2 linked regions of the Kluyveromyces lactis genome follow. Each later gene encodes a partner of the first gene's protein in a complex. Links are inferred from orthologs where the notes say so. Each region holds a gene or a part of one and is shown on either strand. Other genes may lie near its edges. The genes, in order: RAV1 and RAV2.

Region 1 (4,444 bases):
CTAGACCACACGCCCTAATAATTGTTGAGGACTTAGTTTCAGAAATAATCGACCTACCTCTAGGAGCTTGTAAGGTGTTTATATTTTGATATAACCTTCCCAGAACTAGGAGCCTATTCACGAAAATAGCACTTGCATATTATCATGTCACTCTATTCCATACTGCAATATATCTCAACTTAACAACCCTCGGGTTAACCTGAGACAATTTCCGGGTTTTCTTGCAGGCGAGTATGAAATGAAAATATGGCTATTAGTTAAATATATGCATACCGATACGTATATTAATCGAGTGTTTTCCTAATGTCAATCTTCTTGTGTGGTAAATTTATGACATCTGTGCATAGCTTCGTACAACCTACTAGATAGCCATTCCTTAAAAGATATATTAACCGAAAGGGTATAGTCAAGTTTGGTATTCTTGGAACAAGACGATTTCAATGAGGCAATGCGTTAACAAAAGGGTTTAGAATTTGGATTGTAGAAGAGCAGCACACGGCAGAGTATTATTTACAAGATATGGTGTGAGTTATCCAGTTTTATGCAGGAGCGACAATTTGATGATGAAATGTTTTGAAGTAAAAAAAGAGAATTGAAAGAACAGAAACACGCATAGCAAAAGGGATTGTATGCCTTAATTCTTGCTGGCACTATCTAGTAACTTCAACTTCTCATACTCTTCCTTGGCGTTGAAGTCTCCGGTAGATAGCTTTTCATATTGCTCATCGTACTTTCCCGTAGATAACGCACCGTTGCCTCTGAATCTTTTGGTCATGTCAACAATACCACGCTTACAATCCAAAAATGCTTTCATCTGTGCCATACAGAGTTCTGGTAGATCTTTACTCAACTTAGGATCTTCTATGCACTGCTTAGGAGTGTTTCTTTCGATGAGCACGCATGGCGATCTCTGCAAACAGATAGCAACAGCTTTCCTTTGATCGTTACAACTGGCACCCATTTTTTTGGTATATGCTTATGATTAGCTTTTTCTATTATTAGTATTCTTACCAGCCCTTGAATAAATTCCTCTAGTAGCTCCTATATAGCATGAACTTCTTTGGATTAAAGACCGATGACCTGTATTTTGTCACAATGATCACATCTTTTATTAAAGGTTCTTTCTTAGTCTCCAGGAAATACAGAAATCGTTAACAATGACGATAGAAAGCACTATACTTGGAAATGAATAATACTAAGGTTAAATGTTCTACGCAGACCGAAAGGGCATGTTATGTAACTACATAGCACCAAGTCTCTGAAGCTGTTGCCCTGTTAGCTGGTATTTGAAATTAACTGTGTGCACAATTGGGTGTAAATGACATTGAGTTTCCTCCCCGGTGTGCCTAATAGTACTCCTCAAGCAGCTTGCCAGCGGTCATGGAACCATAATACCATATTGGCATACTGCTCTGGTAACAATCTAATATTGCTTTCCAATCGTTCTGAGCGGCTTCAAACAATATATTTGAATTCAGATTGTCATGCTGTCGATGTTAATCCTCGTAATGGTCTCATTGCTGTTGCTGTTTCTCAGGAAGTGTACATTTACAAACCGCTGCATCAAATCATGAAGAACCCTAAATGGGTATTCTGCTGTAAAGTGTACCATGATGATTCCCGCGTCAACACCTTGCAATGGGGTATGGGGAATGAATTAGTATTGGGATCAGATTACCTATCGTTTTGGGATGTAAAGGATGTTTTTGGCGAGTACAAACCTAGACTATTATGGAGTAAAAGACAACCTTTGCCAGTTTATCTTTGTTCAATAACTTCTGATTCTAAACTCATATCTAGTATGAATTATAACGATAGAACAGTGAAAATTTGGAGGCGAGTGTCAATAACATCGGATTCAGATTTCTTTGATCTGGTTATTCTCCCTCATCCAGATGTTGTGACCACCTTTAGGTGGAAAACAAACGATCATCAATGCAATAAAGAACATATTACGCATGTCATTTACACTTTATGTGCAGATAGAAAGTTGAGGGTATGGATCAGTTTTGATATTGACAATAAGAAGAATGTTCAGCAGTGGGGAACTGTGGAGATGTCAAAGTCCAATAACGAAAGATTTTGTGTTATTTTGGATAGCTGGTTAATCCAAAAAACCTTGAGAAAAACCATCAAAGACCAATCTCATCAAAGCGAAATGATCAAGTATATTCTTGAAAAAAAACCTGAAATTATTCTATTTACCACTCCCAGTCTCAAAATTAGAGTGTTGGCATTGACTAATCTTTCAGATGATGTACCGAAAATTATGTCGGTCAAAGATCTATTAAGAACTTCAATATCTAATACTGCAATGGGATCATCTCCAGAGTTCGTACATTTCCCTGAACCACAGATTTTTGATGATGATAAAAGCATATCTTTTGTTGTTCATGATCTTCATGGAAGCGTAAGGCATTCATTGCTACACATTTCATCAATTTTGAATGGAACAGAAACCATTGGTATACTACAGCATAAATGGACCGGACACACAAAATCCATCCAAAAGGTTTTTAGAAGTAGCTACGGTTCTGCTATATTGACAACATCGAGGTTCCAGGAAAATTCTATCTGGGTTCCATTGAGACTAAAGGACTCGGTTACGTTGTCAAAAAAGGCAATGCTAATATCTGAATCGCCAATAAAACATGCTTTAGTCCACGACAGAGGTAATCTGGTGGTAACTTTTCTAGAAAACTGCAAAGTGCAACTATGGGTGTGCTCTTCAAATGAGAAGAGAGCAATTCTTAAAAGCACTTTCTCTGCAGATAAGACGAAGGGGATCCCATCTATTATGGTCAATACTTCTGGAAACAAGCCACACAATGATCAGCATTTTTTTGCTTATGTTTATCCAGATGGTAGTTCCCAAGGCTTTGTATTCACGAAGGATGACATGAAACAGATAGATAGCAATTCTATTGACTTGGAGGGAGAAGAAGAGTTTTATCTTGTGTCCGCGATTGATCCGGTGAGATATCAATTTCAAAGTGACAGATCATTGATTGCCTCAATTACCAAACTCGGAGTAATAAGGATATATAAGGCACAGGCTGATCAGTCGGGTATAAGGTGGAAGAAGAGTTATGAAACCATTACGAATATTACTAATGCTTCGAAAATTACGGGATCGTCAAATGATAAGATATCTGTAATTGACGAAAAAGGTACGACTATGACTCTATGGGATTTGAGAAGGAGTGTCTTGGAGTACGAAACTACCTTTGATGACGAGGTTGTTGATATTGACTGGACAAGCACTGAATTTGAACAAAGCATTGTTGCCATTGGTTTCGAAAATTATGTCATTCTTTATACGCAACTAAGATACGATTATACGAACAGAAACCCTGCTTACTTGCCAATTGAGAAAATCAACGTTTCACAGCACACTACACATGCCATTGGTGACTCCACCTGGTTGAAGAATGGTTCTATCATCATAGCCACTGGCAACCAAGTTTTCATAAAGGACAAAAGCCTAGACTTGAAGGACAAATTTACGTACAGCTCAATTGGCTCTAGAAAAATCTTATCGAATGATATTTTGCATTTAACTAGTGTATTGAATGGTCCATTGCCAATATATCATCCACAACTGTTGATCCAGTCTTTATTTGCTAAAAAGGTCAACCTCGTAAGAGAAATTCTCCTAAAGCTTTTCCATGCGCTGCGCAAGATGGAATTCAACTCTGATGAGATTCACGATATTGGATCATCACTGAAATTAAGTCCTTCCAAGTTTCTTCATACAAACGATTCTACGTATGTGTTTGATAATTATGAAGAACCATATAGCACATTTGATTCGACTGTATCGGCTCCACTTATTGATCTCCTTTCAAAGACCCCTTTACCCTATCTCACTCGACATCAACAGGTGACCCTAATTTCTGTGATCGAAGCTGTTCAAGAGATAAATTTAAATGAGAAGGTTGTAGACATAAATGGTGTTAGATTTATGTTGGGTGTAAAATTGTACACATCGCATAAGAGCACACAGACAAGTGTCAACATGAGAGATGTCAGCTGGGCCACTCATTCCGACAATAAAGAGATTCTTTTTTCAAATCTTTTCAATAGATTAAAGAAATGGGATAACGTGAAAGAATTCAAAGTTCCGTATTGGGCAGGCCAGCAGGATCTCGTGAAATGTTTCGAGAATATAGCCAAATTTGAATTCAACAATTATGATAAAAGAGATCCATCAAGATGTTCAATCTTCTATCTGGCACTTAAAAAGAAAAGTATTTTAATTGGATTATGGCGCATCAGCTCTGGTCATCCAGAACAGGCAAAGATGTTAAAATTTTTGAACAACGACTTCGCAGAGCCTCGTTGGAGATCAGCAGCCTTGAAAAACGCATTTGTCTTACTCAGTAAACACAGATATATGGATGCAGCGACGTTCTTTTTGTTAGCAGGTTCGTTGAAGGACTCT
Region 2 (3,342 bases), on another chromosome or scaffold:
GTTCGATCATAATTGTTTAACATACCGCGTTAGCAAATAAAAGTGTAGGCAGTGGTACTGTACGTAGCAAGGATGTTAGCTATAGATATATTTTTTAATCGATCAAGCAAAGGCGATCTTTTTCCTCTTCAATTGAAGACGTTTATTTCATTACGTACGTATTTCTATTTCTTTTTTCCTGGTTCCTATATCCACAGAATGACCCTGCATTATACTTTACAAAGCAACTTTACGCCAGCCATCACGATTTGGGGATTGAGGGTTTAAAATTCATTTCTCGTAGGTCTCATACTTAAGCTTGAACTGTTTTCTTTGTTTCGCTCTTTCCTTTCTAATTTTTCTCAAATCTGGAGGTGGTGTGACGTTTAATTCTCTTCTTAGTTCGTCTATGTCCTTATCCAAGATTTCTTCCCAATAGACATTGATGAGAGGTTTGCAATTCAGCCCTGCTTTGACTGCCCATGGGAGGTAGATGGAGTAAAGTCTTTCCTTTTGCACTTTCTTTAATCTCAATGGTGCTAATAGAGCACCAAGTGCAGCCATTGGGACACCAATGTTTGATGCCTCAAATGCTTTAACTGCAATCTCACCTTCGATTATGATTGGTAGGTCATTTATTGCATGATAAAAGTCATGGCATTGTCTATATCTCTTAAATATGAAAGCATGGACAGGATCATCGATATAAGTAACTGGTGCCCTTGTGTCTGGAGAGACCCCCTCTTTCATCAACCATTTGTAGTACGTATAGCCAACTGAATTTTTATCCATCTTTGACAATCGTTCCATGTCAAGGCTTTCCGATGTGATGTTTGGTCTGTCTTGTAGAATCCTTCTACCAGTCTTATCTAACAACATTGTCCGTTTTAAACTTTCAAGAAAGCAAGGTAGAGCAGTAGCTTCTCCTAATTGAACGATGTTCTCACCGTTCTCCGGGTGGAAATAAGATTTTAAACCACTGATACCGAAGAGCATCATTCGCTCATACCACCAAAGTGGAACATGACCCTCATAATTAGGTTCTATCGGTCTTGTGTTTCGTAATGCATTTAACCTTTCTTGAGTCCTTTGTTCCATCTTATGCTCATACTCTCCATTTTTATTATGCAGATTCCCTTTCTCCATAGCATCTGCTAGTCTAACATCTTTCCCAATCAATAGGTCTCCAAAAGCTGCTATTGCAGTAAATACGATTGTTCTCTTGCTATTATTCAATGGACTGAAAGCGTTACGACTTGCTTGTAAGGATTTCTTACTTACAGTAAACATTTGCGGTCGTCGTCTGATGCGTTTAATAGCACACTTTCCCTAATAATAAAAAGCTGTGTCCCGGAGTACAACTCGTCAATTGAGTCAAATCTAGAATCTGTGTAAACCTTGATCCTAATCCACGCCAGCAATTTCAATTACAACCACTTTACAATTTTCAATGATCTTCCTTTATCTCTAGTTAAAGTATATGTGGGTGAGTCGCATCAACTTCAAGAAAAGGTTTAAATTTGAAATATTCAGAAGAATCATCATACGAAAAAGGCAAAAGAATAGTAAAAAGGTTGACAAAGGAAAACGCCCATCTTAGCAAGGCTCTTGCTATCTACACGCTAAGGGAGCTTTGCTACATTAATTCTCAATTGCATAAATCCGAGATGACTACGGAATTATATAATGATGGGGCATATAAAAATGCTCCTACATATGAGGAGAGCTCTTTGTTACAACAGACATGGTTGATTAAAGAAATCATAAAGCCTGAGCTACCTAACGTTATGGACCATGTTGAGAAATGCATAAACCAACTATCTAGTCCTGAGAAATTTCGAATGCCTCTTACCAATGGGAATAGTGTCTCCGTTAACACATCAGGTGCCGCGCCAGACAGCACATCGATTAAAGGGACAATCACTAGACAGGCCGGATTTATAGTGGATTTTCAGGCTATCATTAAGCTTCCAGACTTTAGCAGGGGTAAACCAATAGTTCTAAAGATGGACCTTGATAAACAATTTCCCTTAGTTCAAATAAATGCCATAATTACAAATTTATCATCCGTATTGTCCTTATTTGACGAATTACAGCAACTTTCCGAATTACACGATATGAAACTTGATGATATTCATACTTTTCACAATAAAATTGGGAAAATATTGGAGTTACTTACACAATCTATTACATTATTACAAAATCCTCCACGAGAATTGGTCTTTCCGCATAATAACAACAGCTTCTTAAACGACAACTTCTCTGAATCTCATGACATTTGTGAATCAGCACATCATTTGGTCAATATGGAATTAGTGCTATTCAAAAACGAGATTTGCTTGGACATTAGGAATTTGACAAAAGTCATTAAAAAACCCTGGAGTGAGATCGATTCGAAAACTGGGTTATCATTCAGTGATAAAGTCAGAGACAGGCTGAAGCAAGACAGAAATGGAAAAATCGCAGAGATCCTTAAGGAAGAAGGCTTGCAAGTTGAACAAACATCTATGATAAACAATTTGATATCCAGTTTTTCAGCAACTGAAAGAATCACTCTTCCGCAAGCAAGCGATCTATTGGCTAGGTGTGTGACATTTAACGGGCGAGTTGTCACTGAATGCGAGAAAGTTTCAATTACCACCAGCGATCCTACATTGATTAGTGTCAGTGCAAAGTTGAACGGGCTTGAAAACAAAATCAGCAATCACTTTGTAAATATTCAAAATTTAAGTTAACAATGCGATAGATAGAGAGTCGGCGTATGCTTATTTATCTCTCTTCATGCAATTCCTGTATTCTTTGTATCAGTTCTTCTTTACGATTCTTTAAGTCTTTGAGACGTTCCAATTCTTCATGTGTCGAGGATACTATTACAACTGGATCCGATTTCACATTATCTATGATGGGGTTACTTTCTTGATTGTTGAATCGTAGTTTATTCAATTCGAATGTTTGTGATAGAGTGGCCCGCTCCCTTTCCAATTTGGTTAGAGCTTTTTCCAGTTTACTATATAGTTTTTGTAACAATGGTTCTATATCCTCCATCAAATCAAGTCTGGCCCTCTGCACATCATATTCTGATACCAACTGGAATACCCTCTTAGTTTGTAGCATATTTATAGCAAGTTTAGTGCTTCTATCTGTAGTGACCTTAGATACGGTTAAACATTTCGCCATGTCATCGACACATGCTGCTAAAGCATCTACACCCTCCGAAAGTACCTCTTCCATTGTGTCAAATCAGCTCAAATAACAATGCCAAATTATCACAGTGCGTTATCCAATTACAATCCTGCCGATCTATGTGAAGTGTTGTGTTTTCATGTGTATGTTGCGTAATGTTTGTTTACCTCTTTTCTATGT

The links.
Region 2: RAV1 (region 1) and RAV2 share a complex: the UniProt entries of both Saccharomyces cerevisiae proteins name them as parts of the RAVE complex. The link is inferred for Kluyveromyces lactis from reciprocal best matches to the Saccharomyces cerevisiae genes RAV1 and RAV2.

The regions. Positions count from the first base shown.
Region 1 is NC_006041.1:2,021,791-2,026,234, forward strand, and holds the start of RAV1 (Rav1p), read left to right. Parts: upstream 1-1,318; coding exon 1,319-4,444. Other genes in the region: PET191 (Pet191p), read right to left, coding at 635-961. UniProt on the Saccharomyces cerevisiae protein: Component of the RAVE complex, which is required for stable assembly of the vacuolar ATPase complex V-ATPase under many conditions.
Region 2 is NC_006040.1:1,586,261-1,589,602, reverse strand, and holds RAV2 (Rav2p), read left to right. Parts: upstream 1-1,646; coding exon 1,647-2,714; downstream 2,715-3,342. Other genes in the region: ubiquinone biosynthesis protein COQ4, read right to left, coding at 271-1,269; SPC19 (Spc19p), read right to left, coding at 2,749-3,210. UniProt on the Saccharomyces cerevisiae protein: Component of the RAVE complex, which is required for stable assembly of the vacuolar ATPase complex V-ATPase under many conditions. May be required for transport between the early endosome and the late endosome/prevacuolar compartment (PVC).